3 linked regions of the Drosophila melanogaster genome follow. The protein of the gene in region 1 purifies or fractionates together with the protein of each later gene. This does not show direct contact. Each region holds a gene or a part of one and is shown in the gene's direction. Other genes may lie near its edges.

Region 1 (10,362 bases):
ATGGAAGCCAAGGCGCTGGGAGCGCTCAAAGAGCTCCTGTCGCGTCTTTAGGCCATTGTTGGTAATCAGGTAAACTTTTTTGTCAAATCGATCCTGCAGGGCATTCACCACATCCGGAGCACCAGCGATGGCCGTGTCATCCTGCCATATGGTGCCTGTGCGTTTAATGGATATTTGATTTGGTGTCATTTGAAGAGGTTTGAAATGAGAGATATATTTTATAAAGTAACTAAATAATATTGGAATTAACACGAGTTTTGGCTTTATTTTAAAATAATTACGAACGAAATTTCTGTTTGGTAAGCCCAATAGTACATGGGAAATTTATACATTAAATTGGAATGATCTGCGAGAGATCAGAGAGATTTTCAGGTATAAACATATTCCTATTGATCAGGTATAAATATATTCCTAAAAATGTAAAATGATTTCAGCAGCGTTAAGCCTTATCAACTTTTTCTAATTATTAACGATTTTACGTTTAAAGTTATCCACTTACAAAATGAATAACAGTAACAATCGATGTAGCAGGCCGATGAAATGTAAACTTTTAGCTACCGCGATCGCCAAGCTTTTCCCCTTACCCATGTAAATTACCATCGATATTTTATACTCTGTTTTTTCAGTGAAGCGACAACTCTGGTAAAAGCTCCATAGCAGCACTCACAAGCCCAATGAACCCTCTCTCTGTGGCACCTTAGCCGCCCTTGAGACTCACCGTCGCCGTCGCAGAGAACCGTGTCGAAACTTTGGAGCCACTCGCTCACCTGCTCCTCGGATAGGCCGGTCAAGTCGATAGCACCGCCTCTGGACATTTTGCTTCGTAGACCGCTTCGCCAAATGCTTGCGACTCAACTAAATCGACGGCGACGGGCTGGCTGATTTCGATTCACGGTGATTGGGGAAAATCTGCTATCTCCCTTTCGCACAAAGCTCGCTCGGAAAAACAAATTGAGTCGGGCATATCGGTTAAATCATCCGTCTCACAAAATGCTTTTGAATTTATTTAAATATTCTTTGTTCTGTGGTATAAATTGCACTATAAATTTGCGTTAAGTATTAATAATCTTTCCTGTCTATTGAAGTTAAATGTAAAATCTATACAAACACATGTCCGTACTATTTACTGATTACTGATTCATTTCAAGTCCGTCAGGCTGTTCACGATCGACGGCAACAGATCTCCCAACTTGGGCAGGTACACGTCTGGTATGAGCTTCTTCTCCTCGGGATCCTGGCTCAACTTCCAACGCTCCACGTCCTTCAGCTGATGGATTCCGGAACCTACAAGCAGGGTCTGGAAGCCGCAATTGAACCCAAGAAGTATGTCCGTATTGGCTCGATCTCCGATCATCAGAGTTCTCGATGGATCGATCTTCTTCTCCGTGACCAGAGACTCACAAATGGCAGGATTCGGCTTCCCGATCACTACAGGATCCCGCTCCGCACAGGTTTGAATGGCCCGCACGAAGCTCCCGCTGCCTGGTACTATCATATTGGGCATGGGGAAACGCTCATCCGTATTGGTAGCCACGAACAGACACTCCGGGTCGTTTAGGTAGGAAGCGGCCTTCATCATCTTGGGAAAACTGAAGTGTTCGTCGAAGCCAACGACCACGGCTCCGATGTCCGTGTCCAGTTTTAAATGCTGTGCCATGAACTCGGCCAGCGATCCCTTCATGGGTTCCGGGCCCACCTCAGTGTGCTGAATGCCCACGGCGTCCAGTTCCTTGGTGATTCCCTCGCTTCCGATCACAAATACCCGCTTGCTGAAGTTCCGTCGTTTCAGGTACGCAGCTGTGGCATGGGCCGTTGATATAATGCCATTCTCCTTGATATGAAAGCCCAGTTCGACGCCTTTCTTGAGAAGTTCCGACCGGGTCTTCGTCGAGTTGTTAGTGCAAAAGTAGATCGACTTTCCCATACCCTTCAACTGGTTCATCACATCCACAGAGCCCTCCAGGGCCTGGCCATAGATCCAAAGGACACCTGATGTGAAAAAATGGATTAATATTGTAGAAGAATTTTCTTAAAATTAAAAAAAGAACGGTGCTAAATAGGTTCTCACTTTGTAGTTGTTAGTTTTATTAATGCCATTGCTAGTTTTATAAAGGGCGTTATTGATTTCTCAATATCTACAAAAAGTATACTCATATTGTTGGTAATTTATTTCTAAAATTGATAAATTAATCATTCAAAGGCAAAGAGGACAGTTTGAAATTAATTCCAATTAAGTAAATTGGTAACTTCGCAAAGATACATAAACGAAAAGAAATAAAAGCTGTTATGATTAAAGAAGGCATTATTGCATAAAATTAATAAATAATGGGGTTGAACACAACTTTTGATATTGCGTATATAATAACGATTTCCTTGAATTGATAAGATTGTCTAATATTAATAAACTTAGGGCTCATCACTATGAGCATTAGGGAATTTATCAAACGGCTCTTTACTGCTTTACTCTTTACTAAATATAACGATGATTAACAAGATATGAGGGCATCCGAAAGTCGACTTCCCGCCATATCACGCACTTCACTCTTTGACATTGAAATAAACGACGCAGCCACAATACAGAAACTATTGGCTGCTGACGTATTTGGGCAGAATGTGGTATACACATATCTTTATGTAACGCAACTTCCTGGGGGGAATCCTGGGTGGGTGCGAGTTAGTAGTATCTCATCCCCACCACCGACTTACCATCGCAGTCGGTTATTACACTGTCGAAGCCTGCTAGCCACTCGGTCACCTTGGCGGAGGATAATTCCAGGAGATTGGTGCACGACTGCTTGTACATGTTGATAGCTGCCTGTCGCGAAAATCTGGCGAAGTTACAACTCATCTATGGCTTTGCAGCGACGACTATCTTATACACATCACTTTTAATTTATTAATTGACTCTCGATTGCGAGAAACTCCCTGAGAATTAAAGCAGCTGTTGGCGCCTGTTAAGGCTATGTTACTATCTGTCAGATTTCAGCGTAGCTGTTAATGCGCCATGTTAAAGTCAACAGAGTGCTAACAAGTGTTTGGCGCCAAATTTGAATTTAAGGGCTCCTTGGAAGCAGAACTTCTGTGCAACAAATGCTTATATTCGAAAAATGAACTAAGCTCCCCAAACTATTGTAAACACACACTTTGATCATTTTTATGCTTGTTTATTGTTTTATGTGCCTAATCACTAAAATTAATTACTTATAGTACAGGCATTTTTATTTTGTTGAATCTCAGCTTTCTTTTGTGTTTATAAACTTGCTGGAAGAACAAACCATTGCAGAAATTTAATTGAAATACTGACCCTACACACGTTACAAGGTTGGTAAGCAAATTAAAGAGGTTGCAAAGCAGCGTTTTTGTGGCGGCGTGGCGAGGGGTGTGTTTGTGTGGAGGGAAGAGCTGGAATCGAGAGCGAAAACGTTCTTGCGTTTTGTACCATAACTTGCGTTTAAATAAATCTCATTAAGCTAGCGCGAAAACGAACGAAAAATTGTTGGCTAATTACAGAAATAAACTATTTTACATTTACAATAATCATAAATTAATAACTAGGACACGAAACGATATCGAGAAAATTGCATGTAGAGGACCGAGGCCCTCTGCGTTTTTTTTATGTTGCCATTTGGGGTGCGTCTGCTGATGAGAGGTAATGAGCCAAGTCTATTTTGCTAAAGGATCCTGCCTAAAACTGCGACATAAGCAGACTCCCACCGACGCCGCCCCCGCCACCACCTCCTCCTCCGCCGCCGCCACCTGGACCGCCACTAGTGCCCAGCACAGATCCCAGCAGACCGCCACTTGACATCTGCTGTTGCTGCATGGGCATCTGCTGTTGCTGCTGCATCTGCATCGATGAGGAGAAGCTATTCATGTTCCCCACAACGCCAGGTCCCATACTGGCACTAAGGCTGGACAGCCCGGGTCCTCCAGGTCCTCCTCCCAGCGATCCCAGACTAGTGGCTCCCATTACACCCGCTGCTCCGCCCAAGCTCGCTCCTCCGGGCAGCAAGCCCACGCCCGGTTCGGGGCTCTGGTTTTTCTTTTTACGCTTTTTCTCCTTTTTGCGCTTCTTGCGCTCCTTGTCGTCCTCATGGCGTTTCTGCTTCTTGTGCTTTTTCTCGTAAGTCTCCAGGCCGGCCGAGTCTGCAAGATGGTTATCATTGGATTATGTGTGATCGAGTTGCTCGATAATTCAGCAGATTGCTTACCGAGCAGCGTGGATTCCTGTCCCGTGGTCACCCCGTCTTTGTGTTTTTGCTTTTTGTGTTTGTTTTTGTGTTTACGCGCAGGTGTGACATATGTGGTACGATACTGTTCCGGCAGCTGAAAGGAGCACCAGAATCGGATAAATTAGCAATGTGAAAGTGCAGAGGAAAAAAATAATATATTTTATGCAATTTGTTCTAGTAACGATTTATCCATTGTTTGAAATATATGACATGTAAAAAATATTTCACGAAACCTTTTAAGATGAATTATTATTATTATTAGATTGCATATAGGGTGAAAGAAAACTCTCAATAATATTAAATGCCAATATTTCAATAACAAGAAAGGAAGGACAATCCGTCAACAAGGAAGGTTAGTTTTTTTTTTTTTTTTGAATATCATAATATTAAACCATATGGCAGCAATATGAATTAGTGGCCTAAACTGGCGCGTTCTGATTTATGCACTACTTGCAACAAAAATTTAAAACTGAAAGAAAACGGGCAGGCGGACATGGCCTTATCGACTCAGCTGTTCATATAGATCACTGCGTTGCGAACTACTGACTTAATATACACTGTTCAAAAGAGGTTTAAAGGGAAAACCAACATTTACACTCTTGTTAATTTAAGTAATTTTTGTGATTAATGACTAAAATATTTGTGTTTCAAATTTGTTGTTGAACATAAGGAAAATGAATTACAACTCTAAAATACTACGGTGATTATAGAAATAAGTGACAGAAAAGGTGCGACCAAATAACACTTTATAGTAGATCAGTCTGTGCAAGGACACTTAAATCCAAATTTCATATGCAAATTTTAAAAAGCGAAATTAATGCATGCAAATGTATAGAGACGCAAAGCATTGAATAGCGTCTAAATGTATTCTAAGATGTTCAATGTGCCGTATCTAAAGATTCGTCATTTTTCAAACTGAGCAAGCGAATTAAAAGCATATTGGAAAAACCAACCGGTCCGGGATGCAAGCGGAATCCGGCCAGCTGCACGGGAGTCAGCGGAAGAAGCTCCTTTCCACCAATGGGCGGCTTTTCGATCACGCTCCGCAGCGTGCTATTCTCCACGGGATGCGTGATGAGGTCGTTAATGCCGGGGATGTTCTGCAGAAACGAGGCCAGCGACTCCTTGAACTTCTTCTCCTTGAACTTGGTGAGTGTGTGGTGCAGTCCGTACTCGGTCATGAGATCCTTGTCGCCGGTAAGTTCTGCCTTGGCGGGTGGTTCCTTCATGGAGTAAAATGGCCCCGTGTGAATGATCGTTGGCGTCTTGCCCAGCGAAATGGTCGTTTTCAGGGTGCCGGATGAGTCTTGACGGGCCACCACGGGTGATCGGCCGCCGCCGTGGGGCGATGACTTCGGTGAGTCCATCATGTTGCCGTAGTTGCTCATCATCTTGGAAACTCAGCGATTCTCTTCACTCTTGGCAACCCACGCACACAATCGCACCGCACCGCACACGCTCACGCACACAGGGGCACAGCAACAAGGCAAGGCCAGCAGAAGGTGTCGCCTGTCGCGGCTCTCGGGCAACGCTGGCCAAGCTCACACTCTGCAAAATGCGCCGCGTCTGCCCGGCACTTCGGCTGACTCTTTTCTGGTCGAAAACTGAACTAATTATTTGCTCTTGTGGCGTTTTCTAACAGATTTCGGGGGCAAGTCTCGCCATCTTGTTGTGTCCGCGAACCAGTGTGACCGCATTGCGACAGCTAGCGAAATACTGAGGCTTCAACGAAAACGCGAGATGAACGCGACGTGAAAATACCAAAAGTGTTGTGGGAAATATCCCAGATGGGGAATACCACACAGGGTTGTACTGTAGGGCAAACTATCGAATATTCATCGTATAATACATTTTTAATTACCTATAGATATAATAAAGTTAATATTACTTTGGAACTCTTATTATATATGTATCGTATGTACGTTGAGTTATATATTTTTAAAACAGTTATTTTACAGTTTATTTATTACAGTTTATTTTATACGTACAAAAACATTAATTAATGGGTGCCAAAACTATAAAAGCCGGCTTACACGTATAGTTGGCTTGTTTTTAGGTAGCTTTTGCTACAACAAATGACCCATAAAGTGAATATTGTATAAACTAGCAATTGAGTGACGGACATATCGTATTTTGAACGATCATCAAGCTAATATTTTTATACACATCTTTTTCATACGAAAATGTTTTAGAATTTCAAATTCCAACAGAGTGGAAAATCACCAAAACAATCGATAGCATCGCGGCCATCATATGACCACTATCGAATGCACATCGCCAGCCCTGCGACCGCTCCGAGCCCCACAACACGAAAAACAGTCGGAAAAACACACATCAAACTAGTGTTGTGTTTGTAGTTAAATAACGATTATCCTCATAACTCGCCCGCACCAGCCATGCAATTCACGCTCCGTCATGTTGTTTCGGCAGTAGCCAAGGTAAGGATCGGGCGACATAACCGATTCCCCAAACGCCATCGCCCCTCAAGTTATGCAATCTAACCTCACCGAGGGGGTCGAGAAATGGGCAGGAAAAGGCTGGAAAATGCACTTGGATCACCTGCAGTGCTCATATGATCCCGGTGGGTGATTCACTGGCGTTTGGGGATTTGTTTGGCCCCGTTTTCAAGGTCGCTAATTAGGCCAATTATCAGCTGATAGTCGGCCGAAGATTAGTGCGAAATGCGTGCGACTGGCGTGATAAATGATAAGGTGCCACAACATGTAGTAATCTGCCGTCTTTACAGACTCCTCTGCGCACCAATGCCGCCATTCTGGGTGCCCTCAACGCCCGCTGCTACTCCAGCACCCACGAGGCGGACATCGTGGTGATTGGCTCCGGACCCGGTGGCTATGTCGCCGCCATCAAGGCCGCCCAGATGGGCATGAAGACGGTCAGCGTGGAGAAGGAGGCAACTCTGGGCGGCACCTGCCTGAATGTTGGCTGCATTCCCTCAAAGGCGCTGCTGAACAACTCCCACTACTACCACATGGCCCACTCCGGTGATCTGGAGAAACGTGGTATTAGCTGCGGCAGCGTTAGCCTGGATCTGGAGAAGCTTATGGGTCAAAAGTCCAACGCCGTGAAGGCTTTGACCGGTGGCATTGCCATGCTTTTCAAGAAGAACAAGGTCACACAGCTGACGGGCTTCGGCACCATCGTCAATCCCAACGAGGTGGAGGTTAAGAAATCCGACGGCTCCACGGAGACTGTCAAGACCAAGAACATCCTCATCGCCACCGGCTCGGAGGTTACCCCCTTCCCTGGCATTGAAGTAAGTGCAAAACCTCTACAGCGCGCTTGATTACTAATGCATGCCATTCAAAAACCTTCACAGATCGACGAGGAAGTTATTGTGAGCAGCACTGGCGCCCTGAAGCTGGCCAAGGTGCCCAAGCATCTGGTTGTCATCGGCGCCGGTGTCATTGGCCTGGAGCTGGGTTCGGTATGGTCGCGTCTGGGCGCTGAGGTCACTGCCATTGAGTTCATGGATACGATCGGCGGCGTGGGCATCGATAACGAAGTCTCCAAGACGTTCCAAAAGGTGCTCACCAAGCAGGGTCTTAAGTTCAAGCTGGGCACCAAGGTGACGGCTGCCTCTCGCAGCGGCGACAACGTCACCGTGTCCGTGGAGAACGCCAAGTCTGGCGAGAAAGAGGAGATCCAGTGCGACGCCCTGCTGGTCAGTGTTGGACGTCGTCCCTACACCGAAGGTTTGGGTCTGGAGGCCGTGGGCATTGTTAAGGATGACCGCGGCAGGATCCCCGTCAACGCCACTTTCCAAACTGTGGTGCCCAATATTTACGCCATCGGCGACTGCATCCACGGACCCATGTTGGCGCACAAGGCTGAAGATGAGGGCCTCATCACCATTGAGGGCATCAACGGCGGCCACGTGCACATCGACTACAACTGCGTGCCCAGTGTAGTCTACACGCATCCCGAGGTCGCGTGGGTTGGCAAGAGCGAGGAGCAACTGAAGCAGGAGGGTGTTGCCTACAAGGTGGGCAAGTTCCCCTTCCTGGCCAACTCTCGTGCCAAGACCAACAACGACACCGACGGTTTCGTCAAGGTTCTGGCCGACCAGGCCACCGATAAGATCCTGGGAACCCATATTATCGGACCTGGTGCCGGCGAGCTCATTAACGAGGCTGTGCTGGCCATGGAGTACGGAGCCGCTGCCGAGGACGTTGCCCGCGTTTGCCATGCGCATCCAGTAAGTGATTACCTAATCTGATTTGAACCTTTCGAACCTAATGCGCACAATTCCTTCTTTCAGACATGTTCCGAGGCCCTGCGTGAGGCCAATGTGGCAGCTGCCTTTGGCAAACCCATCAACTTCTAAGCACTTCCCAATCTCTGCCAGATAGTGAAGAATTTTGCACCGCGTTTGAAATCTTTGAATAACCCCTATTCGAAAAATTATCCTGACGGCCGAAACGACAGTCTCCGCATATTTGTAACTCTCAATGTAGGAACAGAAAAGTGGAAAATATAAATAATGGTAATGGCGCCAGGCGTTAATTGCAATGTAATATGTGTATTAAGCTAGAATAAATACAACACTGTTTGAAAACTCGAAACTGCAGTTCTGCAGATTAATTCTTTTTCAATGTCGTTAGATTTTCTGGTGTACCACTAATAAAGCTATAAGCATAAAAATAATAGGAGTCCTGTTAAAAAAAAAAAATTGTTCAATTGGTCTCTACAATTTATTTACCATCAAACAATTACATTAAATTTCAAGCCATACGTTCACAAGTAAGATGTAAATAGGTAATACCCTTAAATAGAGAGTTATAAAAAAAATGATAATAAATAACATTCTTTATTAAATTTGAATATTAATATTAATCCACGATTTAGCGGAAAACTCGCCAAGCTGAGTATCACTGTTCACAGCTGTCGTACCGGCTTTTCAAAAGCCATCTGGCAACGCTCGCGAACGCTCAGTGTCAAAATTTCGGCCGTTTCGAACAAATAATTTATTTTTGGGCTTTGTTCACACATTTAGCACCGCATTATTCCCAATATTTTTTACTCAAAAGTTTTGGGGTACAAAATTCATAGCTCATTGCAATGTTCCGATTTGGCAAGCTCCATCGCAGTCTGTCTAAGGTGGCCAAAAAGGGACAGACAGCTGTGTATTCCCAGCGCCGTTGCATTCAGGCGAGGAGTTTCTTGCCGGGATTGGCTAGTAGGACGGCTGGAACGCCCTCTGCGACGGCCCAGGTAACCGGTGGAAACAAGCAGCACGTACACCCCCATGGTAATTCCGTTAACAGTGGCCACGAAGAAGTAAGTGCATTCGTAGAAATAGTTTACATAACACAAGACTCTAATATATTACCCCAACCCAGCATAACACCCGCTGGCCGAGGAAAGTCTTTAGTGGCATCCAGCCGACGGGTTCCCTGCATCTGGGTAATTATCTCGGCGCCGTGCGCAAATGGGTGCAGCTGCAGAATGCTCGTGACGATGTCACCGTGTGTATTGTGGATTTGCACTCTATTACCATGCCCCACAATCCGCCGCTTCTGCGAGAGAACATCTTCACCATGGCCGCCACGTTGTTGGCATGTGGCATCGATCCCACCAAGAGCACCCTCTTTGTCCAGTCCGCCGTTGCCGAGCACGCCGAGTTCAATTGGATCCTTAGCTCCTTGACCACCATGCCGCGATTGGCTCAACTGCCGCAGTTCCGAGAGAAGTCCCGTCTTCTAAAGGATGTCCCTCTGGGATTGTACGTTTACCCGGTTCTCCAAGCAGCCGACATTATGCTTTACAAGTAAGTAAATATATTCCGTTTTTTGTTCAGAATGTAAGCCGGGAATGCAAGAGTCCTAGTTGCTTATCAGACTTAAATGCTTTGGTTCAGCTTTACATATTTTTAAACCACCCTTTAATATCTGAAATGGTTTGCCATTTGCTTACTTATTATAGTACTTATAATATTCATATTCGTTTTTCGATCAGGTCCACTCATGTTCCTGTGGGCGCTGACCAGATTCAGCACATTCAGCTGGCCCAGCACTTGGCCAGAATTTATAACGGTCGCTATGGCGAGACTTTCCCTGTTTGCACCGCCATCATTGAGGATGGTGATGCCTCCCGTGTGCTGTCCCTGCGA
Region 2 (10,362 bases), on another chromosome or scaffold:
GATACATTGTACAGTCAGGCCTCTCTACCATCTATTATCACAAAATGTGGCTTGAATAAATCTTTGACTCTTCTTACTTATATGTACCATCCACTTATATCAATAAAACAATGAACTTGTCAAAATGTGGTAATTAACGAACTTAGAGAATCTTACATAGGTTAACTGCCCTGTGAGAGTGACTACTATCATAGCAATGTGAACTTGCCTCGCTAATTGCTCTACACTTCCCATTCTCAGATTGCCAAACAGAGTGCTCGGAATAAGCTAGGCTGGTATTATGAATCAGCGTCGGATGGACGGATATACTCACCTTTTAGTGCAAAAATATTTCCTTCAAATTGTTTCGTTGTTGCTGCTGCTGTTGCTGCTTGAGCTTTTGTTTATCTCTGTCTATAGTGTATATATAGATGGGTTTGTTTGTGCGTTGTTGCTATTCGTCGATTCGATTGTTGCTTGGTGCCGCAGCTTAGTTGTTCGTATAAAGATATTTATCTACTTCGTAGATACGCTCTTTCGTGTCTCGTTTAATCATGCTTGGCATGCGCCAAGTCAAGCCGTAAACAGTGTCAGAAATAATTAATATTTCGAAGCGTCCCTCCACGCCCAAATAGTCCGCATATGGGGTAATACACTAGATGGTTATGGATTGCGGGCCTCTAGACACAGATACAGATGCAGGCAGATACAGCGGCAAATGCAAAAAAAGGCACAGATACGCATACGCATACGCACTCACACAAACGCACTGTGATCACAATTGATTTTAGTGCCTATTGTTGTTGCTTTTGCTCGGATGACTGGTGGCTGCTGTGCGAGCGAGAGGGCGAGATGAGTGATATGAGCGGGTGGCTCGTTAAGTATACGCACCGTTGGTATCGTCTATTTTTGGTTTGTCGCTTTGTGCTGCTTGTTCTCGGCTCGTTGTCTGCTCGTCGTCAATTATTACCGATTCCGTTTTGGTTTCTTAATTTTTGTTCGCGTTGTTGTGTTCGTTCGTTTTTCTTTTTATTGTGATTTTTCTCTCATTTAATGCAGATCGCTCGCTATTTATGTATATAATATAGTTATTGTTCGGATTACTCTCACACGTACACATACAAGCGGTCACTACACGCATACAGGCGCGGCCAAAATGAGGGGATTATTAATTGTTATTTATATTTTCCTATACTACTCTTCATGTTTAGCCTGCACGCGCTGTTTGTTTTCACCCGACTTGTGCGCCGTATTCTTTGGCAATTGCCAAAAACTGCTCACATGTGCCGCCGCATCTATATTTATAGTATATGACAGCGCTGCGAATGATGACTGTATCGCAGCACTATGTAGATACATCTATAAACCTATATGCAGTTGGCGTTGCTTCCGTTTCCGTTGGTCAAAAACAATAATATCAGCGGGCTGGCAGAAAGACAAAATAAAAAAAAGAACAGACTATTTCAAATTATTGGCCCGATTTATTTAGCGTTTTAGTCGCCGCCGCGGCACAATATGATTTCCGCTCGCAAACAGTTTGTCTATTTTTAAATAGAATTCAAGAAAGTATTCGGGGAGGAAACGTATGTACTTATGCATGAATCACATAATCCCGATTCGTAAGAGCAAAATATAAAGGATCGGGGATGTAATTGGATTTAAACACATTTAACTACGGGACAATGGAACCTTGGAATTTTGGTTTTACTTTAGGTTTCCATGGGTTCGTTGCTGTCGATCGAGACACTATATCTGCGGGGTATATCTATTTATCGATGTACGCCGTATTATGTGAGCATGTATGTATATTCGCACGTATGTATGTATATGGATGTGAGTAACGCTGCCGGCTGCTACACTGGGCGCAGGCTTTAACTTAAAAATTAAATCATCGGCGCGAGCGATCAGTTGAAGACTAAAGACTTGATGAATCGCCGCGCCAGCCGAAAGCTCTTCATTACAGTTGTGCTCTCTGGAAAGCGATTCTCCGCTTCTCTTTGCACCACACAACCAAAAGAATCTCGTGGGAAAATGCGAGAGCGATCCGTTTAGGGTTGTCGAGCGGCTCGAACTATAGAGCAAATATGTAGAAATAAATGAACATGATCGCATTCGTACACAAAATGATCTTTATCCTTATAACAATAGTTTCAATTCGATACATAAACAGAAATTACAGAAATGAAAACTAATCATGATGACAAATCAATAAAACAAGAATATTAACTTGTCTGCCTTGGTTTATCGTGGAAATGTTGCTGTTACTAATGAAGAAAAACTAATGTCGCCTCAACGGTGAAAAATTACTAACTCGATTTATGATCCACTTTTGGCATACCATACACCAAATCTCTCCTTGCATACAAGTTTAAAAAATATACAAATACAATATTGTTAGAATAATTCAAACGATGTTAACAGGATTTGACAGCGGTAGGACGATTAGACCAAGTTGATCAAATGCTCGCGCAGAATAAATACGGAGGTGGGGACAAGGACGAGAACGAGGACAACGAGAATGCCTATTTGGCGGGCGAGGCTATGGAGTTGTTTAGTGAATTGTTTAGCTGCTCCTCCTGATCCTTGTCCAAGCCAAGGGCTGTGGTCAACAGCTTGACCACACATCGCTGCTCGTGCACCTCGCCCTTCTCGTTGGAAGTAATGTCCTTTTCTAGTTTTAGCTTCTCTTCGGCGGCCATCAGGATGCCCTCCTCGATGGTACTCTCGGAAATGAGACGGTAAATGGTCACCGGACGCTGCTGTCCCATGCGATGACACCGATCCTCGGCCTGTTTATCGTTGTACGGGTTGAAGTCGATATCGTGAATGACACAGGTGTCGGCAGCCGTCAGGTTGATGCCAACGCCACCGGCTTTGGTGGAGAGTAGGAACACAAAGATGCTATCGTCCCCATTGAAGTCGGTGATCAAATCCTGGCGGACATTTACGGCGGTCGCCCCGTCCAGGCGACAGAAACCAAACTTTCGTATTCGCAGATACTCCTCCACAATGTCCAGCATCATGGTGAACTGGCTGAAAAGCAACACACGGTGTCCTTCTGCCTTCAGTTTTGGAAGCAACGTATCCAGGTAGAGGAATTTTCCAGAATCGCATATCAAATTATCGGGTATTTTCACGTCGTAAAACTCCTGAAAGATGCACAAATTTAGTCATTGTCATTGGACAACCTCTTTGATAGTCACTTACATGCTTGTTCATCATCTGATAGACCTGAAAGTCTGACATAACGGCTAGCTCTTCAAAGATGTATTGCTCGTTGGTCTTTTTAAAGGAACTGGCATTAGCCAGGCGCTTAGAGAATCCACGTAGATTGGCGTCGGTGAAGTAGTGACGCATCAGCAACGGATGGTTTGCAATGCGGCGCATCTCCATCATGATCGCTATGCCGGCCCTTTCGCTGCTGCTGCACACCTCGCCCTTGTTATTGGAATAATAATCGACCAGCTCGTGATAGTATATTTTCTGTTGACTGCTCATGGGCACTTTTTCCTTTAAATAAAAAACAATTTAATTATTGTATAATATTTATTTTCGCCCGACGTACTTACCACCAGGCTTAGCTTCTTGGGCAGGTTCTTAAGGACATCTTTCTTAAGCCGTCTGAGTACAAATGGCTTCATGATACGCTTTGCTCTCTGGATTTGTGTTTCCTGGAACTGTGAAACCTCATCCTGATCTCCATCGCTTTTTCCCTTCTGCAAGGAACATGAAGTTTATATATTGTTTTGTGTGAAACCAATCTTTGTTTTACCTTAGCAAACAACGATTTTATGTCCTCAATGCTCTTGGCAAAGAATTTGGGCATCACGAAGCAGAGCAGAGAGATTAGCTCCAGCAGATTGTTCTGCAGCGGAGTTCCAGTGAGCAGGATTCGCATCCTAGCGTTTATGGTTATAAGGTTAGCATAGCGTTGCGTGGTCATGTTCTTCAGCATATGGGCTTCATCAAAAATGACGTAGTCCAACTTGCAAACCCGGAACATTTTCCTCTCCTCCGGCGTGGATCCCACAATGTGATATCTGTTCAAAATGTACAAGAAATTTAAGCTTAGATTCTTTTATGGCTTTGTGGATATTTACGTGGTCAGAAGAACATCAAAGCCGGTAAATCCATCCTTGGCAAAGCGGCCTCGCATTCTCCTTCGCTCGTCCTGCGAGCCATGGTACTTCTCCACCACCAGTTCGGGACACCAGCGGCTAATCTCTGCCTCCCAATTATCCAGCGTGGACGAGGGCACCACAATTAAATGTGCAGCCTGGCTAAGACCATTCTCCTTTAGATAGGCCAGAAATGCAATAACCTGAATTGTCTTGCCCAGACCCATTTCATCTGCCAAAATGCCATTCATTTCTTGTTTGTGCATTACGGTGAGCCAATTAAGGCCAATTATCTGATAATCAGCCAGCTGTAGACTGCAAGAGGAACGAAAATAGAAACACAAATGGGGACATGCATGCTGGTTAAGGCTCACCCGCTGCTAAGAAGCTTAGGTTGCTCCACAATGCCAGCACCATTGGAAATCGCCTTCTCCAGACGCGACACCATGTTATTGCACTTACTTAGAATAGCGGCCACCGTGTTCTGTTTGTTAATCAGCTCTTGAGCGTAATTCAAAAGATCACCCGACATCCTGATGCTCTCCAGCTTTTGGCGCAAATCAGACCAATCACTAAATGGTCGCACATCAATGATGGCTAATGCCTTCTTCTCGGACAGCGTTTTAACTGACTGGAGTTCAATTAGCGAAGCCTCGTTCATAAACTGGAAAACTTTTTTACGTTGCCCCGTCATCTTGGTGGACATCTCGCTATCGCTGTCATCGCTATCATACACCTGGTCCTTGGACTGCTTCACATCATCGTCGTCCGAATGGTCGTTATCCGAGAAGTTGCCTCCACTAATTCCGTTTGACCTGGGTTTCAGCTTGGACTTGGCCAGTGGTCCATTGTGCCCCTTGGGCTTGCAGTTCTCCCTTAGGTATCGCACGGAAGCGGCCACATCCCAATTGGTGCGGGAAAGAGACTCCTGGATGGCCTACGGAACATATTTGAAATTTATTTCAGTTAAAATCGAGATTTATGCAAAATATTGCATTAAAAATGAGCAATTTTAAGCTATAAAATATTCTGATTAATTTTAAAATTCAAATAAGAACGGTGATAATGTCCGGAAATATTTTATATGAGGCACACCAAAGTAGTGGAAACAGTTACACGAGAGGGTTATTACTGCTCCCATCCCCGTCAGTGACGCCCCTGGCTAACGACAGCTGTTCGCAACGCCGGGCCGAACCGAATCGCCATGTTCCCCGAACTCAGATGCAGAGACGCGCGTTTCCCCGCGAATCGCCCCGTTTTACCTTGGTGGCATTTCGGCCGGAAACCTACCATTGTGTCAAAGTGGGGCGAAATCTTGGCGGCTGCCATGTAGCGCTCCTCCTTTTCCTTAACGGTCAGCTCCAGTTTGGTCTTCTTGGGCGTCTGGGAGTCGTTGCCATCGCTGTCACTATCGGCCATCACCTGGATGCGCTTCTTTCCAGGCACACGCTCTGAAATCAGGCAGTTAGCTACCGTGTCAATCGCTTGGAATTTTAGCTCAGCAAGTACCAGTTCTCGAAGGACTAGCGACGACAGAGGAAGCATTCTTGTTGATGCGGAACTGACGCAGATCGCTGAGGCTCGACTTCGCGGACGATGAGGCGGAGGCCGACGCAGATGCGGCCACTGTGCTGTCCGACATCGTGGGACAAGGCGAAACGCTTCCTGGCAATCTGTCAGTCCTTATTAACAAATTCTGTTTGCAACTCCTACAATCTTAAGTTGGTATTTGTGAATATTCGCATGCTAGTGCGGCCGTTTGATTATCCCGATAAAACCTATTTCTATTTCTCCAACGGAATGCGGTCACACTGTGCGCCAATTTAAGTATTAGCTTAATGATTATTATTATTTTTCATTTATTTTTATCGAACTGTAACGCATTAGTGTAAGCTTCTATGAGATTATCTAACAATTTGCTTTTGTATATATCGTATATGATTTGATTTCGTCAACCTAACCGTAAGTAATTAAAACCGATGCCAAAATGAAAGAAAGAAACTTAAAAAAATCCCAAACTGGCGGTAAATTAAGAAAGTTGCCAGAGTTGCCAGATGTTATCGGCTTACCGCAAGCAATCGGCCAACAATCGAAACATTGGGACGCGTTGCAACCCTCTCTTTTTTTCGCTTGCTCTTGTAGGTTAATTGAAAACACTTTTATTGCAAATAAACCGCTTGCCGAGCCAAGGGCAAACCGATAAACTGGCAAACATGGCTGGCGGCAACACCCCGCGTGTGATCCAGGTGACCAACATAGCGCCGCAGGCCACCAAGGACCAGATGCAGACGCTGTTCGGGAACATTGGCAAGATAGAGGAGATCCGCCTGTACCCGACAATCCGTGATGTCTCCTGTCCGGTGCAGTCGCGCATCTGCTATGTGAAATACACGGACACGACCAGTGTGCCGGTGGCCCAGCACTTGACCAACACGGTGTTCATCGATCGCGCCCTAATTGTCATACCCGTTCTGGCCATACCCGAGGAGTATCGGGCCCTGGAGATGCTCAAGAACGGAACCATTGTGCCGGGACTCCAGAAGCCGGACTCCAAGCTACCGCCCGAAGTCATTAACCGCATCGAGGGACAGCTGCCGCAGCAAGTGATCAAGACGTACGACCCCAAGTTGGTGGAATTCAATCTGCCGGAGTACCCGGCCTTACCCTCGTTCTACGATGCGCGCAAAATCGAGGAGATTCGGCGCACCATTATCGTGTGCGATGTTAAGAACGAGTGGCGGCTAGACGATCTGATGGAATGCTTTCAGCGCGCTGGGGAGGTGAAGTATGCCCGTTGGGCCGAGAAGGATAACAAGACGTACTGCATGATTGAGTTCTGCGAACAGACCAGCATTATTCACGCCCTGCGCATGCAGGGCCAGGAGTTCAAGGGTGGCCATCTAAGCGTCTACCACTCCACGTATTCCATAACCAAGCCGGAGGCAAAGTCGAATGAGGCAGCGCAGGCTGAGATTGAGGAGGCCATGACCATTGTGAAAGAGGCGCAGAGTATGATCTCAGCGGCCATTGATCCGGTAATTGGAATGCTCGCTAAGGACAAGCGCCGCAGGTCGAGATCACGGTCCCGTTCCCGGGACCGTCGCACCAGTCGATCCCGCTCGCATCGTTCCACATCGAGACGCCGTTCCAGGCGTTCCGGTTCCAGAGAGCGACGTAGTGTGTCCCGATCACGCCGCTCTAGGTCGCGTGGCAAGCACTCGTCCCGTTCTCGCAGCAAGCGCTCAAGATCACGACACCGTCGCAGCTCCTCACGTTCCAGGAGATCACGCTCCCGTGGCGGCAAGCACTCTCGCTCCTCAAGGTCGCGTGGCAAGCGCTCCAGGTCCCGCCATCGCCGCAGCACCTCACGCTCACGTAGCTCGCGTTCCCATGGCACCGGTGGAGGAGGCAGTGGCAACGGCAAACGTTCCCGATCCCGCGAGCGCAGCAAGAAGTCACACCGCAGCGAGAAGCACTCTTCACGTTCTCCCCGATCTAGAAGCAAGCGCAGCTCTCCCTCGCCGCCGCCAGCTACCGGCAGTAAGTCACGGTCCAGTCGCAGCAAGGATCCGGTCATCGTTTCCGCCAAGTCATCCCGGCGGCGCGACCGCTCCCGTACTCCCGAAACTCGCAAACTCAAATCCATCTCTGAGGACACTGAGGTTAAGAGCTCACGATCCAGCGCCGATTCGAAGTCACGCAAATCGGTTAGTGTCGAGAAGTCGGACAACATGGACATCTCCAACTCGCCCTAGACCTAGAGAGATTGCATACTACTTTATAATAAATACAGAACTTAAGCAACCCCGTCTCCAGTACAACCCGACACCCATTGTCCTCAATGAGATTTGTATTTCACTCAACTCTGTCATAGTTTTCAAGTATAAAGTCTAATTAAAACTGAAGCATTTTCTTTCGTAATGAAAAAAATAGTACATACAAATATGAATGATATCGGTATCATAGCAGTACAATTTTTTTTAATTTTTTGCCAAGTACGGATTGTTTATTTGGAAACTATAACAATCTTATTGTCTTCTTATTAGGAAAACCCAATACAAATGCAAGTTAAATTAATAAAAAACTTTCTAATGAAGACCAACTTTAAAACATTGTATGATCAACATTTTGTAAGGAGTACTTAAGTATGCAAAATTGCTTTGATAAATATACATTAAGAACGCATTAAAGAGACTTGTATTTAAAAACTAGAGGATTGATTGAGTTTCATCAAAAATCGAAATTCAGCGATGGTGACTAATCGTCACTAAGAACAAAGGAAGGAACAAACTGCAGCTAATTTTGCACAGTGTATTCTACAGCTGTAATCGGTGGGCTTGTCTCACTTTGTTTGTCAGAGAGCGGGGTAAAGCTTTTCGAGCTTTCATCCAATAATATGTCGGCGATGGCGGCGAATCGCGACCAGAAGTCGAAAGTTATTGCAGTGCGATAGTCGCCTTTACTTGCATTAATTTATTTGTTGTTTTATTTAAGAGTGAACCCACCTTAGAAAATGTCTGCCGCAACCAAAGGTAATTATGTGAATCCTTTAGGATATGCCTATGCTGTTGGAAGTCTAGATAAGAGATGATCTCGCTAGAGAGATCTGAACTTTGGACTCGTTGGTGTCTTATCTGATGCTATCCCCCCCCCCCGCGTCCAGCCGGTTGCACTTTGGACCTGTTGAATCGAAAACAAAAATCCGCCTTCGTTCGAGCTAAATTTGTGCTATCACTACGCACATTATATATGTTATACATATGTTCGTATGTTTCTTCTCCTTTGTAAAGGTATCTATATTGTGGCTGCCAAGCGTACGGCCTTCGGAACCTTCGGTGGATCCTTGAAGGGCATCAACCAGACCCAATTGCAAACCACGGCGGCCAAGGCTGCCCTGGATGCTGCCGGTCTTAAGGGTGAGCAAGTGGACACCGTCATCGTGGGAAATGTGATCGCGGTAAGTTGGATTGAAGATCCTAAAATAGAAACTCTTAAGGCGTCGGATTAAAACAATATTAAGATGTTATTAAACTAAAAGAAATATGTAAATGTGATAAAATACTTGTACATCTGGTTATGTAAATTAATTTACTCGATATTTATTTGTTATTATTGCTTAATTGCAAACTCAGTAGATCAAAAACTGGAACTACATGCTTATATTATGTTTTTTTGTAACTTGTAAGTCTTAAAAATCTCTTCTCTTCCACTTCGCAGTCCTCCTCCACCGATGGTATTTATGTGCCCCGTCATGTGGGTCTCAACTGCGGTGTGCCCATCGAGAAGCCCGCCCTTGGAATCAACCGGCTTTGCGGTTCCGGCTTCCAGTCGATCGTAAACGGAGCCCAGGACATCCTGGTCGGCGGTGCCAAGATAGCCCTTACCGGCGGCGTGGAGAACATGTCACAGAGCCCTTTCATTGCCCGTAATGTGAGATTCGGAACCACCTTGGGTGCCAGCTACAATCTGGAGGATGCTCTATGGGCTGGCCTCACCGATACCTACTGCAAGCTGCCCATGGCTCTGACCGCTGAGAACCTGGCCGATCAGTACAAGATCAGTAGGGAGCGTGTGGATGAGTTCTCTCTGCTCTCGCAAAAGAACTGGGAGAAGGGTCAGAAGGAGGGAGCATTCAATGCCGAGATCACACCCATCAAACTTAAGGTCAAGGGAAAGGAAGTGGACTTTGTGGTGGACGAGCACCCACGTCCCAAGACCACCATCGAGGGTCTGAACAAGCTGCCTTCGCTGTTTAAGAAGAACGGCGTTGTGACTGCCGGAACAGCATCCGGAATCTGTGATGGTGCCTCCGCAGTGATCGTGGCCTCCGAGGAGGCGCTTAAGGAGTACAACCTGAAGCCTCTGGCCCGTCTAGTGGCCTTCTCCTTTGTCGGAGTCAAGCCTGAGATCATGGGCATTGGCCCAGTACCCGCCATTCAGAACGTCCTGAAGGTTTCCGGCAAGAAACTGGAGGATATTGATCTGATTGAGATCAACGAAGCCTTTGCTGCCCAGACATTGGCTTGCGCCGATGCCCTGAAGTTGGATACCTCCAAACTGAATGTGAACGGAGGCGCCATCGCCTTGGGCCATCCTCTGGGTGCCAGTGGCTCTCGCATCACTGGTCATCTGGTTCATGAGTTGCAGTAAGTTTCCGTGGAAATTTACAACCTGTCATAAATTGATAATTATATATTTTTTCCAGGCGCAAGAAGCTAAAGTACGGCATTGGATCCGCGTGCATTGGTGGTGGTCAGGGCATCGC
Region 3 (10,362 bases), on another chromosome or scaffold:
GAATATCGTGTGTGTGTGTGAGTGTAGTGTATCTGTGTTTAATTCGCGGGCTTCGTTTACGCTACATTTGAAATCTTTGTATATCTTGGTTTACGCATCAACTGGGCGTTTAAATTAGGACTTATGAGATAAAGGAAAGAAAGATTTTGGTTTTGTTTTGTTCTTGTATATAGTGGGGATGTTTACTTTTTGTTGGATTCCGTATAGGTTGCGTTTATACGAAAATGCCTTCAATTACAATTTTTGTTTGTTTTGTAGTTTTTTATAAAAAAAGTACACATAAAATACAATTAAAATAAGGTAAGAAATAAAAAATTATTTCTTAAACATAAAAATTATATACTTTTGCGATTTTTTTGTGGTTTTTTTCTCCTCCTCCTCCTCATTTTCTCCTTGTTGTGGTTTATTTTCTGCTTGTTGGTTTATTATTATATTTTTTTTGTTTTGTTTTTGCTTGTAACTTTTATTTATTATTAATTTAAATTTTTGTTTGTTTTTGTTTGTATTTTTGACTACATTATTATTACGCCTGATCGTCCGAGCCGGAACCGTCATCATTATCATCATCATCATCTGCGCGGGTAAGGGAAAGGGAAAATCCGGGGATTAGATTGATGTGGAAAAGGGAAGTGCTTCCGTGAACTCACCATCACATTCAATGTCATCCTCCTCACCATCGTAGGGGATGTCGTACTCGTCGCTCTCGATTTCACTGTCGCCCTCGATGATTTCCTCCAGAGCCTCTTCCTCATCGGAATCTCCATCGGCGGCCGCGGCCTTCTTGGCCTTCTTTGATTCTGCGGATTTGGCCTGGAAGCGAAAAAAGAGAAGTTAGTAGAGTTCCTTTGGTTTTTGTTCCGCTGATGATTTACTGTATTACAAGCAAGTTTATTGAACAGAAATAAGGGGCCCGTCACTATTAATTATGCATTTTTGATATTAATCTGAGAAACAAACTAAAGGATATTAGGGAGAATTACGGAGCGAAATGGTCCTACGCGCCCAACTCAAACCCACACATCTCCTTGATCAAGGGCATCCAATACCCCTCTCAACTTCCTGTGCGTGTGTACATAGTCATAAAATGTATATTTTCAGCACACAAAACAAGCAGCGACGAAAATCGTTATTTTCGCCGTAAAAAAACATTTGAAAAATGCGCGCGCCAATGTAATTCGCTGCGGCAAAAAGAGACAGCGGGAGAGAGAGTACGTGAGAGAGTGGATTACAAGTGCAACCGCGCTACATTACATCTGTGCTCCGTATGTACAAGGCGACATATTTACTACATAAGGGGGAAGGAAAAAAAAACAATAAGCAGCGACGCCGGCAGCGACATATGTATCCGCATCCGTGAGATACGAAACGAAGCGTGCCCTGTAAGATAGAGAGCGGGCGAGAGCGCCAGAGAGAGAGCATCTGAATCCGCAGCACTGTAAACTGTACCTGAACTGCATGAATGAATCTCTCGCTCTCACTCACAGCCATCCGAACGACAGCTGCTGCAGCGACGTCGGCAGCGAAAAAGGCGCAAAACAACAACATGCGTGGGTTTAACTTTTGCCGCTGACCAACCAACAACAAGATACACATAATGGTATATGGTTTATGGCAGTATATAGGCGGTCACGTTCCCAAGTCGAAGAGAAGCCGCAACACAAGGGCCCTATTTACCAGACTGTTACAAAGCGGAAGAAGCGAAAAACAATCGGACTGTGGAAAAATGTGCAAAATTAATGGCCACCCATCGCCCCCCTTTTTCACTTCGCTTACAGCATAAGTCACGAGACCCAGAACTCGAGAAAAGGCCAATAGAGGATTAAGACGAACAGGGTGTATCTGTATTGGCAAGAACTAAGCCTACTATTACTGGTGTTATAACTGGGTAATCAATGTATCTTGATTTAGTTAGAGGTTTTAGTTTGTGTTTTCTAAGCGTGAAGATACATTTATAGGGACAAAAGCTAATCTGTTGTTTGGAATCGAAAGATATGGAAACCAACGAATAATTTTCAAAACTATTCTTGAAATCTATACAATTCGTTACTGTACCACTAAGAATTATCCGTGCCAAACGTATCTCAACTAATTCATGATCATGGGATAATGATCATTATTCAATTGAATCCCGAAGAAACCCAACTAACTTTTGCGACACCCTGTTTAGCCGTCTTGTTTTATGTACTAAAATAAATACGCATAAGGCAGAGCAGAAAAAAAAGTGAAAGATAAATGTAAGCACATACGCAAACAGACAAAACGGTGTGTATACAAATTACGAGGGAGAGAGTTAGCAGCGCTCTCTATTTGTATCTATCTTTCTCCGGGGAGAGAGAGAGAGAGCGAGAGAACGCTCCCGTTAAACTGTACATTTTTATTTCGAGTTTGAGTCTGAGAAAAGCGCTTGATTTGCCAATTTATCTGCCTTACTGGCCGAACTATTTTATTTTTATCAAGAAATGTGCTACTCGATTATGGAATGCGACTGCTTCAGGCCCCCAAAACTTGTTCGAATACCGCGTGCTCTTGGCGATACTAACCAAAAATAAAGTGGCCAAACATGACATGAGTAATTTACCGGCCGGCAATGTGTGTTTTCATTGAGAGAGTGCATTGGCATCGCGCTGAATTGCGTTTGCGTTTGCATTTGCAATTCCCGTAGCCACAGCGACTGATAAATAAGGCCAAGCGTATGAGTTATAGACGTAATGCCACAATGTATCTATTGCTGGGTAACGCTGTTCAGCGGACACGTCAATGCTAATGACCTATGGGTTTATTAAAAACACATTACCCACCCCACCAAAGAAAAGGCCCTGGCTAACTGTACTCCCCGCCTATATAAGCACGGCGGCCCTCCTAACCTCGATTTGAACCTAACAACAATAATCTTTGATTGCCGGACCCGCAATCATCTTGGTTAATCGTAAACAACACAAACGCACAACCGAGCCAGCTATACGCTCTCTCTTTTGGGGGCATATGTAAGCCATTGGGAGAGTGCGCTGTTCCGAAAAACGTGTGTATATCTATTTCTAGAATTTTTCCTCGAACAATGCTATGCTACTGGCATATTGGCTTGGAGTGAATCATTAGAGGGGCCTCCTTTTGGTTTTACCGCGTAAACAACTACCTAGTCACATAGATCAGTACTCACTTCTGCTGGCCTCTTGGTGCCTTTCACGGATTCCTTTGCGGGGGCAGCGGCGGCGGCATCGGCGGCATCCTCGCCGTCCTTTGACGTACCGTTGTCGGCCGCGTCGCCGGCGGCATCGGCAGCAGCGGCCTTATCCTCGGCGGCCGCCTTCGCCTTGAGATCGTCCTTGACAGCAGACACATCATCTGCCGCCACCTTCTCCACGGCCACATCGCCGTTGTTCTGTTGTTCCGTAGCAGCCGACATATTTGAATTGGTTTCTTTGAGGTTTTCCGGAACTATTTAGTTTCTGCGTTATATAGAGAACAATTCGGGTTGGTTTTGTGGATTGTCTTGTTGTTGACAAAAAACCAGCGCAAAATACTCGGGGAAGGCGAGAGAGAGACAGAGAGAACCGCACCGAACGAAGCACACAAACACACTGAATGCGATTCAGCTGCGGGCCGTCTATTTAAGCACTGCCTCTCGAGGAGAGAGTAACTTTCTTTAAACGCTCTCGCTGCTCTCTTTTTCGCTCTCCCCGAAATCGTTACGACGCTCACTCGCTCTCTCTCTCCCACGCCATTGGCCCATACAATACACTCAAAAAATCGCCGCGGCATTTGTACAGCCGCAGTCGATAAGACAACAACAACAGCCCAGAGCAGAGCGATCGTTGGATTTTTGGTATATTATTTTGCGGTGATTTTCTGATAATATAGTATCTATATAGTAAGGCTTTAGGAGGTGCCATATATCAGGCGGCGCTACGGCAGGCAAAAGGATTTACTCGTAGGCCCCACTGATGTATGGAATATCCGTTTTCCTTTGGTTTGCTAACCACCGATATGTGCTCCCGTCGACGGTTCGTACAAGACTGAGCTTGCCGTCCGTTCGATGGCTAGAAATTGCCGCTTGCTTCTTCTTGCGCCAAATCGGTTGCAGACATTTTTGCCTATAACTTGAATACCTTTGTTCGGATCGGTTCAGAGACTGATCGAGGCTATAGCTGGTAGTATCCGCTTAATTTTGGGCTTTTTCCCGAGGCGCTGCGATCAAAACTAGATCCGCAAATGACAAGTTGAGTGGGTTTCCTGATTAATTCCATACAAAATCTGCTTGGGTTCCGTGAGTACGGTTGTGGGCGCGTTTGGCGGTAAATTTGAAAATTGCGCGCGCCAGTGGTGCGCTTGTGGGCCTGGGGGCGGGGTCTGGGGGTTGGTAGCGGCGATGGTGGTGTGTGGTGTGTGTGGTGCAGTCACTCTGTGGCGTTCTGACCGTTCGTCGGTGGAACAGAACAGAACAGAGCAGAACAGTGGATGTGGATGTTGCCGATGGGAAGAAGTGTTGCAGCATTGTTGCCGCAGATGCAGATGTGTGTGCTGTGTGTTGTATTCAGCACGGTATTCGTATTTATAGAGTGGACCAGCGTGGGACGCAATGTCGTCGCGGATTGGGGTCAATTGATTGGTAACGTGTGGGGAAGCAGGTGATTTTCGCGGACCAGGAAAGCGGGCAGCTATTTTTGAGATTCTAACTATTTAGATGCACGCAATCGGGGAAATGCTCTATTCCGGGATTATGCGTCTTAAAACTAGAATTAGAGAACTGGAGAAATAGCAAGAAAACAGCAATTTGCAACCCCATAAGATTCGAAAACATTTAAGGGTTAGTTTTCGAAATCGGCAATTTCCAGAAATATTAAACATCCTTAAGTCCTAATGGCCCCACCAAAGACTTCGACTTAAATGCCAATGCCTATCACTCGTCGAATTGGGTCCACCCTTGACTCTTTTTTCATGTGCCAATCTTTCTGTTGATCCCGCACTTGTGGTTCGACCATTTGATGGTGATGGCTTCGTTCGCCGCACGAACCCAGTGGGTTCAGGAATCGCCCAATATATGGGAAACTGGAACTGCCGAGTAGGCTATAACATATCGCCCATATCACCTGGTAGTCAACGTGCTCGAGTTGTACTGGCTCTTCTCTATAAATCTGTGTTATCAGTGGGACAATCACTGCGAGGTTGATCTTCAAGTTCATTCAAAATGTGCACATTAACGAGCGGAATAACAACCCATAAAGTAATACTAGAGGAATTCGACCGGAAGACATAAGGTTCTTGGTGCTATTTCCAGTAGCCTATCGACGAAAGGGTAATAACTATCGTTTGCCGGGTATCCAACAGTCGAGTTTCGATTGGACAGCCTCTCACGCTTTCAGCTATTTTCGTGCGAAAGCAATGGCAAATACGAATACCTAGGCTATATATCTGGTAATCTGAATAATACGGTCGACGACAGAGCGAGCGGACGACTGTCGACAGGCGGATCGCTAATTAAAACCGGCGAACATGTTCCGCGGCATCCCAACCGAGGCGGCATGGTGAACGTAAACACCTGTAATCGTGGCCCGTCGTCCACTCAGTTATCACATATTTGAGGAGCAGCGATGACTTTTTGCCTGAACATCGCTGCCTGATAAGCCGATTTGCGTCTCCATTTCGCTGTGCTTCCATGGGCCGCCTACCGTTCTTCTCTGGCTGTCACTGTCTCACTTTCCGTCCGCCGAACTCTCAGTATCCGTTCGAGTGGCTTGACGCTCGTCGGCCCAAGATTGGTGGGTCTCTCGCGATACGAATAGTCGTGCTCATCGGGCTTGTGAGACCACCTCTCGGTGTTGAACAATGGTATCTAGATTCCTGAGGACAACCTGTGCCAATTTCTCGAGTTATCGGCTTGGTTGGTACGACCGTAGTTACTTCAAGGTTAGACAACGGTTTCAAATGCAGGCAACCACCGGGTAGGTAGGATCTCAAGCAGGCAGAAATGGATGGATGGTCCTGCTTCCCGGAACCCAAACATCTGTCGATTCGGAAATTTTATGGCCCTTTCGAACACGAAACTAACGCAAGGGATTTTTCCCCGACCGTTGTCGTTACTGACCTGCCTCAGGAATTTCTCCCAGTGCACTTACACGTTGTTGCGTCATTAATTTGCTGTAGCATAAAGGTGCGAACAAATCTCAATGCAAACACAATCGATAGCCAGACGCTTCAGCTAGCATGTGTATCTAAAACACACACATCAGCTTGTATTCACGGCGATTAAGTTTTTCGCTCTTTCAGCTTAATGCGGTGCTTAATAGATTTCTTCTAATCGGGTTGTTAGGCTTTTCAAAAACGGAAGTTTCAGTTCTTTTGACAGCTTTATTTCGATATGATATCATCGATAGCATGGTAAACAATGTATGAAGAGTAGCGCAGCTCACCGTTCAGATACAAAACCAATTGTAGCGCATACGAATAGCCACCATAGGCTGTCCCTTCTAGCGCTTAGGTACCCAACAAGATGGCTGGGTGGAACAACATGAACAGGTTTACGACTCGATTAGAGTGATTGTTAGACTGTTGCTAGATGGGCGATTCGCTTGGTCGCTTGGCTGTTGTTTGGCTGCTTGACTCTCTGGATTCTTGATCTCTAGCGCTAGCACGTCATCGCCGTCGCCGTCGCATTGGACACTTTCGGAGTCGGGTCTCGTTTTCCCGGCATGTGCTAATGTTTCCACACGAGTGCCGGGCCACATGGACGCGACTCGACCAGGTATATGTACTGGCCCGGCTCACCTGCTCGCCTGCGTTTCACCTGCGTCAACGGGCGGTTTACACGCAATTATTAAAATGAATTTAAGCAGCCCCATTGTCTTCGATTTCCAATACCACCTGACCCAGCAGCAGCGCCGTGGTGTCATCACCAGTGGGTACCCGGGTCCTCGGCGGTGCCTTAATTGCGCAGAGCACCACAGCCGTGACGTGTGAGTGGACATTCTTCCGACGGCTGGCTGAAGGATGAAGGAGGACAGCCGCTACCACTGCAATGCTGCATCTGAAGTGCCCCAAATAGGCTTATACGCACCCCAGTCTCCCAGGCAGCCACCCAAAACCCCATCAGATATGGCAATCTATCGATTATTTTAGTGATGTGCTCACATTACAATTGGTCCTTTGGGCAGATTAGTTCTTTGAAAACCCGCCACTTTGGCTAGAAAACCCCCGAATGGCCAGCAACCAACCCAACCTCGTTCGTTCCCATATACCTTACTTTGCCATCTGCGTCATGCATTTCGCTGCACTGAGCACTTGTGGTGGGTGGTGGTGTTCCGTGTGCTGGGTGGTGGGTGGTGATGCGGTGGGTTAGCGTTTGGTGGTGCCAGTGCCGAGTGCCGCCGGTGGTTGCTTGGACCGCCGGAGATGAGTAGAGATACAGAGTGGGCAACAATGAATGAATCATTGGGGGAAGAGGCGGAGCCATCATCATGGCATCATAAGCGGAATCCGTTTGCACAGTCAAAATAAAACAACGGCCACCGAGAAAGATTGTGTGATTTGACTTTGTTGGCCTCAACAGAAATCATTTATTCAATAATTACATATTGACATACAAACATCAAAGGGGCGGCTGTTACATACGGTATGGACATATGTATGTACGTCGTAGATTATTATTATTTATTAAATTTTTTTTTTATTATTTTTATAAATTAATTATAAATTTTTATAAAAAATCACTAATTCGGACTTTCAGTTAAAATTTAACAGACATTCAAGGGTGTGGAAGAAAAAAGTTCTAAGGGGTTAAAATTTATTATAAAAAATTTATTAAAAAAAATAATTTTTATATGTATTTAAGTGAAAATATTATATGAACGGTTTCTATTTAAGTTAATATAAAAAAAATTGTATACTGTAAATAGCAAATGATCAATTAAATGATCTAGTCAGAATATGCAGACATTTATTTTGTTAATTTTTAGCATATGATTATCTATGGACAATATTTAAATATTATGAAAATAATGATATTTTAAATAATAGATTTTTAAATTTTAGAATTGTGTGGCCCCTTTTCGACACCCTTGGAACGGATGCTTCACAGCACTGTGCTGACAGCACTTACCAACACTGCTTGGGCGCCAAATACAGAGTTGCATTTGGAGAGTACAACTTTTATCCAACTTTCGAACGAGAATACAATCCGATACCAACTTCGGACTCCAAAATAGGAGTATACCCAGCTGGATCCTGCGCATGGCACCTACCAATCGGCGGAAAACCGCTTGCCACGGATTGACGCCCTGGAAGTGGAGATGCAACCCTAGCAGCTCACCGACAAAATGACCTTGCGCTGACATTGCCGCACAGCAGTTGAGGACGAAGAAGATTCGCGGAATCAGTGGTATCGCAATCCGGAGTTTGCTAGCACGCACAGGAAGTATCCAGAAAATCCAGAAAAATCCAAAGATGGCCTTCAATAAGCTGAGCATCGAAAACCTGGACTTGGCGGGCAAGCGGGTGTTGATGCGGTAATCCAAAGCCAATCCTCGCGTGAAATTCAGTTGCATAAACATTGCCCGTGCTTCTTTGCAGCGTCGACTTCAATGTGCCCATCAAGGAGGGCAAGATCACCAGCAACCAGAGAATTGTCGCTGCCTTGGATAGTATCAAGTTGGCCCTTTCCAAGAAAGCCAAGTCGGTGGTGCTGATGTCCCACTTGGGTCGTCCCGATGGCAACAAGAACATCAAGTACACCCTGGCACCCGTGGCCGCTGAGCTGAAGACCCTGCTTGGCCAGGATGTGATCTTCCTAAGTGACTGCGTCGGCAGCGAAGTGGAGGCCGCTTGCAAGGATCCCGCACCGGGATCCGTCATTCTGCTGGAGAACGTCCGCTTCTACGTGGAGGAGGAGGGCAAGGGCTTGGATGCCAGCGGCGGCAAGGTCAAGGCCGATCCTGCCAAGGTCAAGGAGTTCCGTGCCAGCCTGGCCAAGCTGGGCGATGTCTATGTCAACGACGCCTTCGGCACTGCCCATCGCGCCCACAGTTCCATGATGGGCGATGGCTTCGAGCAGCGCGCAGCTGGTCTGTTGCTGAACAAGGAGCTGAAGTACTTCTCGCAGGCCCTGGACAAGCCACCAAATCCCTTCCTGGCAATTCTCGGTGGCGCCAAGGTGGCCGACAAGATCCAGCTGATTGAGAACCTTCTGGACAAGGTCAACGAGATGATCATCGGTGGCGGCATGGCCTTCACCTTCCTGAAGGTCCTCAACAACATGAAGATCGGCGGTTCCCTGTTCGACGAGGAGGGCTCCAAGATCGTCGAGAAACTGGTGGAGAAGGCCAAGAAGAATAACGTGCAGTTGCATCTGCCAGTGGACTTTGTCTGCGGCGACAAGTTCGCCGAGAACGCTGCCGTCAGCGAGGCCACCGTGGAGGCCGGAATTCCCGATGGACACATGGGTCTGGATGTGGGTCCCAAGACCCGTGAGCTCTTCGCGGCACCCATCGCACGCGCCAAGCTCATCGTGTGGAACGGGTAGGTGTCACACTGAAGCTACTTCTCCAAATGTCCTATAATGGTTTTCCCATTTTAGACCCCCCGGTGTCTTTGAGTTCCCCAACTTCGCCAACGGCACCAAGTCCATCATGGACGGCGTGGTGGCCGCCACCAAGAACGGCACCGTCTCCATCATCGGCGGCGGCGACACTGCCTCTTGCTGCGCCAAGTGGAACACGGAGGCACTCGTCTCGCACGTCTCCACCGGAGGCGGCGCTTCGCTGGAGCTCCTGGAGGGCAAGACACTGCCAGGCGTGGCTGCATTGACCAGCGCCTAAGCGTACATATATACGGTATATTAATGTTAATCGCATCGTTTACCTTGTAAGCACAAACCACGACGTTAAAAAGTGTTGAATCTATTTGTTGCGGAACCATATAATGCATACGAAATAAAGGAATCCTAGTTTATTTGCGGGCAAAGTTGCTGTCCATTGAGGAGGCGGTGCGCTGTATGTTGTTGAGATTGGCCCGGATGCGATCGCCAATTGAGTTATGGTTGGCAATGGCCTTCTTCACCTCCTTGTTAATGAACTCCTTGTCGAAGTCTCGTTCACGATTTTGGGCCTCCTCGCGCGCGTATGCTTCTCGGTGCTTGCGAACCACCTGGCTGCGATCCGCTTCTCTCCAAGTGGCGTTGTCCATCATTTCGCGCAGGCGAGCTTCTCGGTCGGCTTCGCTTAACTTTGGCTTGCCGGTGGGACGGCTGGGAGGCGGTCTTTCGGCAATCCTTCGCTTGTCATCTCCTTTGGAACTTCGGCTCCTGCTGCGTTTTGATCTGGAACGCTCTTCAGGTGTCCTACTCCTGCGTTTCTCGCGCTGCTTTGAAGTGTC

What was found.
Region 2: the proteins of CG7430 (region 1) and yip2 purify together in Drosophila melanogaster (affinity purification with mass spectrometry, with the first as the bait; one large-scale study listed by BioGRID). This does not show direct contact.
Region 3: the proteins of CG7430 (region 1) and Pgk purify together in Drosophila melanogaster (affinity purification with mass spectrometry, with the first as the bait; one large-scale study listed by BioGRID). This does not show direct contact.

Annotation. Positions count from the first base shown.
Region 1 is NT_037436.4:17,840,569-17,850,930, forward strand, and holds CG7430 (uncharacterized protein), read left to right. Parts: upstream 1-6,347; 5' UTR 6,348-6,628; coding exon 6,629-6,670; intron 6,671-6,978; coding exon 6,979-7,506; intron 7,507-7,569; coding exon 7,570-8,448; intron 8,449-8,511; coding exon 8,512-8,577; 3' UTR 8,578-9,033; downstream 9,034-10,362. Other genes in the region: CG5577 (uncharacterized protein), read right to left, coding at 1-155, 719-815; CG5567 (uncharacterized protein), read right to left, coding at 1,139-1,989, 2,707-2,848; MED19 (mediator complex subunit 19), read right to left, coding at 3,686-4,146, 4,212-4,326, 5,186-5,623; TrpRS-m (Tryptophanyl-tRNA synthetase, mitochondrial), read left to right, coding at 9,312-9,530, 9,593-10,020, 10,209-10,362.
Region 2 is NT_033779.5:9,906,738-9,917,099, forward strand, and holds the start of yip2 (yippee interacting protein 2), read left to right. Parts: upstream 1-8,515; 5' UTR 8,516-8,610; coding exon 8,611-8,629; intron 8,630-8,887; coding exon 8,888-9,054; intron 9,055-9,314; coding exon 9,315-10,243; intron 10,244-10,302; coding exon 10,303-10,362. Other genes in the region: Etl1, read right to left, coding at 2,502-3,128, 3,187-3,489, 3,549-3,695, 3,752-4,019, 4,080-4,412, 4,472-5,034, 5,388-5,548, 5,607-5,739; Srp54 (splicing regulatory protein 54), read left to right, coding at 6,311-7,852.
Region 3 is NT_033779.5:2,746,456-2,756,817, reverse strand, and holds Pgk (phosphoglycerate kinase), read left to right. Parts: upstream 1-3,749; 5' UTR 3,750-3,823; intron 3,824-3,977; exon of another isoform or gene 3,978-4,373; intron 4,374-5,828; exon of another isoform or gene 5,829-5,904; intron 5,905-6,670; exon of another isoform or gene 6,671-6,739; intron 6,740-7,504; exon of another isoform or gene 7,505-7,606; intron 7,607-8,025; 5' UTR 8,026-8,436; coding exon 8,437-8,498; intron 8,499-8,562; coding exon 8,563-9,507; intron 9,508-9,565; coding exon 9,566-9,806; 3' UTR 9,807-9,936; downstream 9,937-10,362. Other genes in the region: Bacc (bacchus), read right to left, coding at 524-573, 648-810, 3,158-3,403; Cwc25, read right to left, coding at 9,937-10,362. UniProt on the Drosophila melanogaster protein: Enzyme of the glycolytic pathway. Glycolysis is essential in glial cells but not in neurons; neurons rely on the citric acid cycle for their energy needs, and on lactate and alanine secreted into the hemolymph by glial cells to fuel it.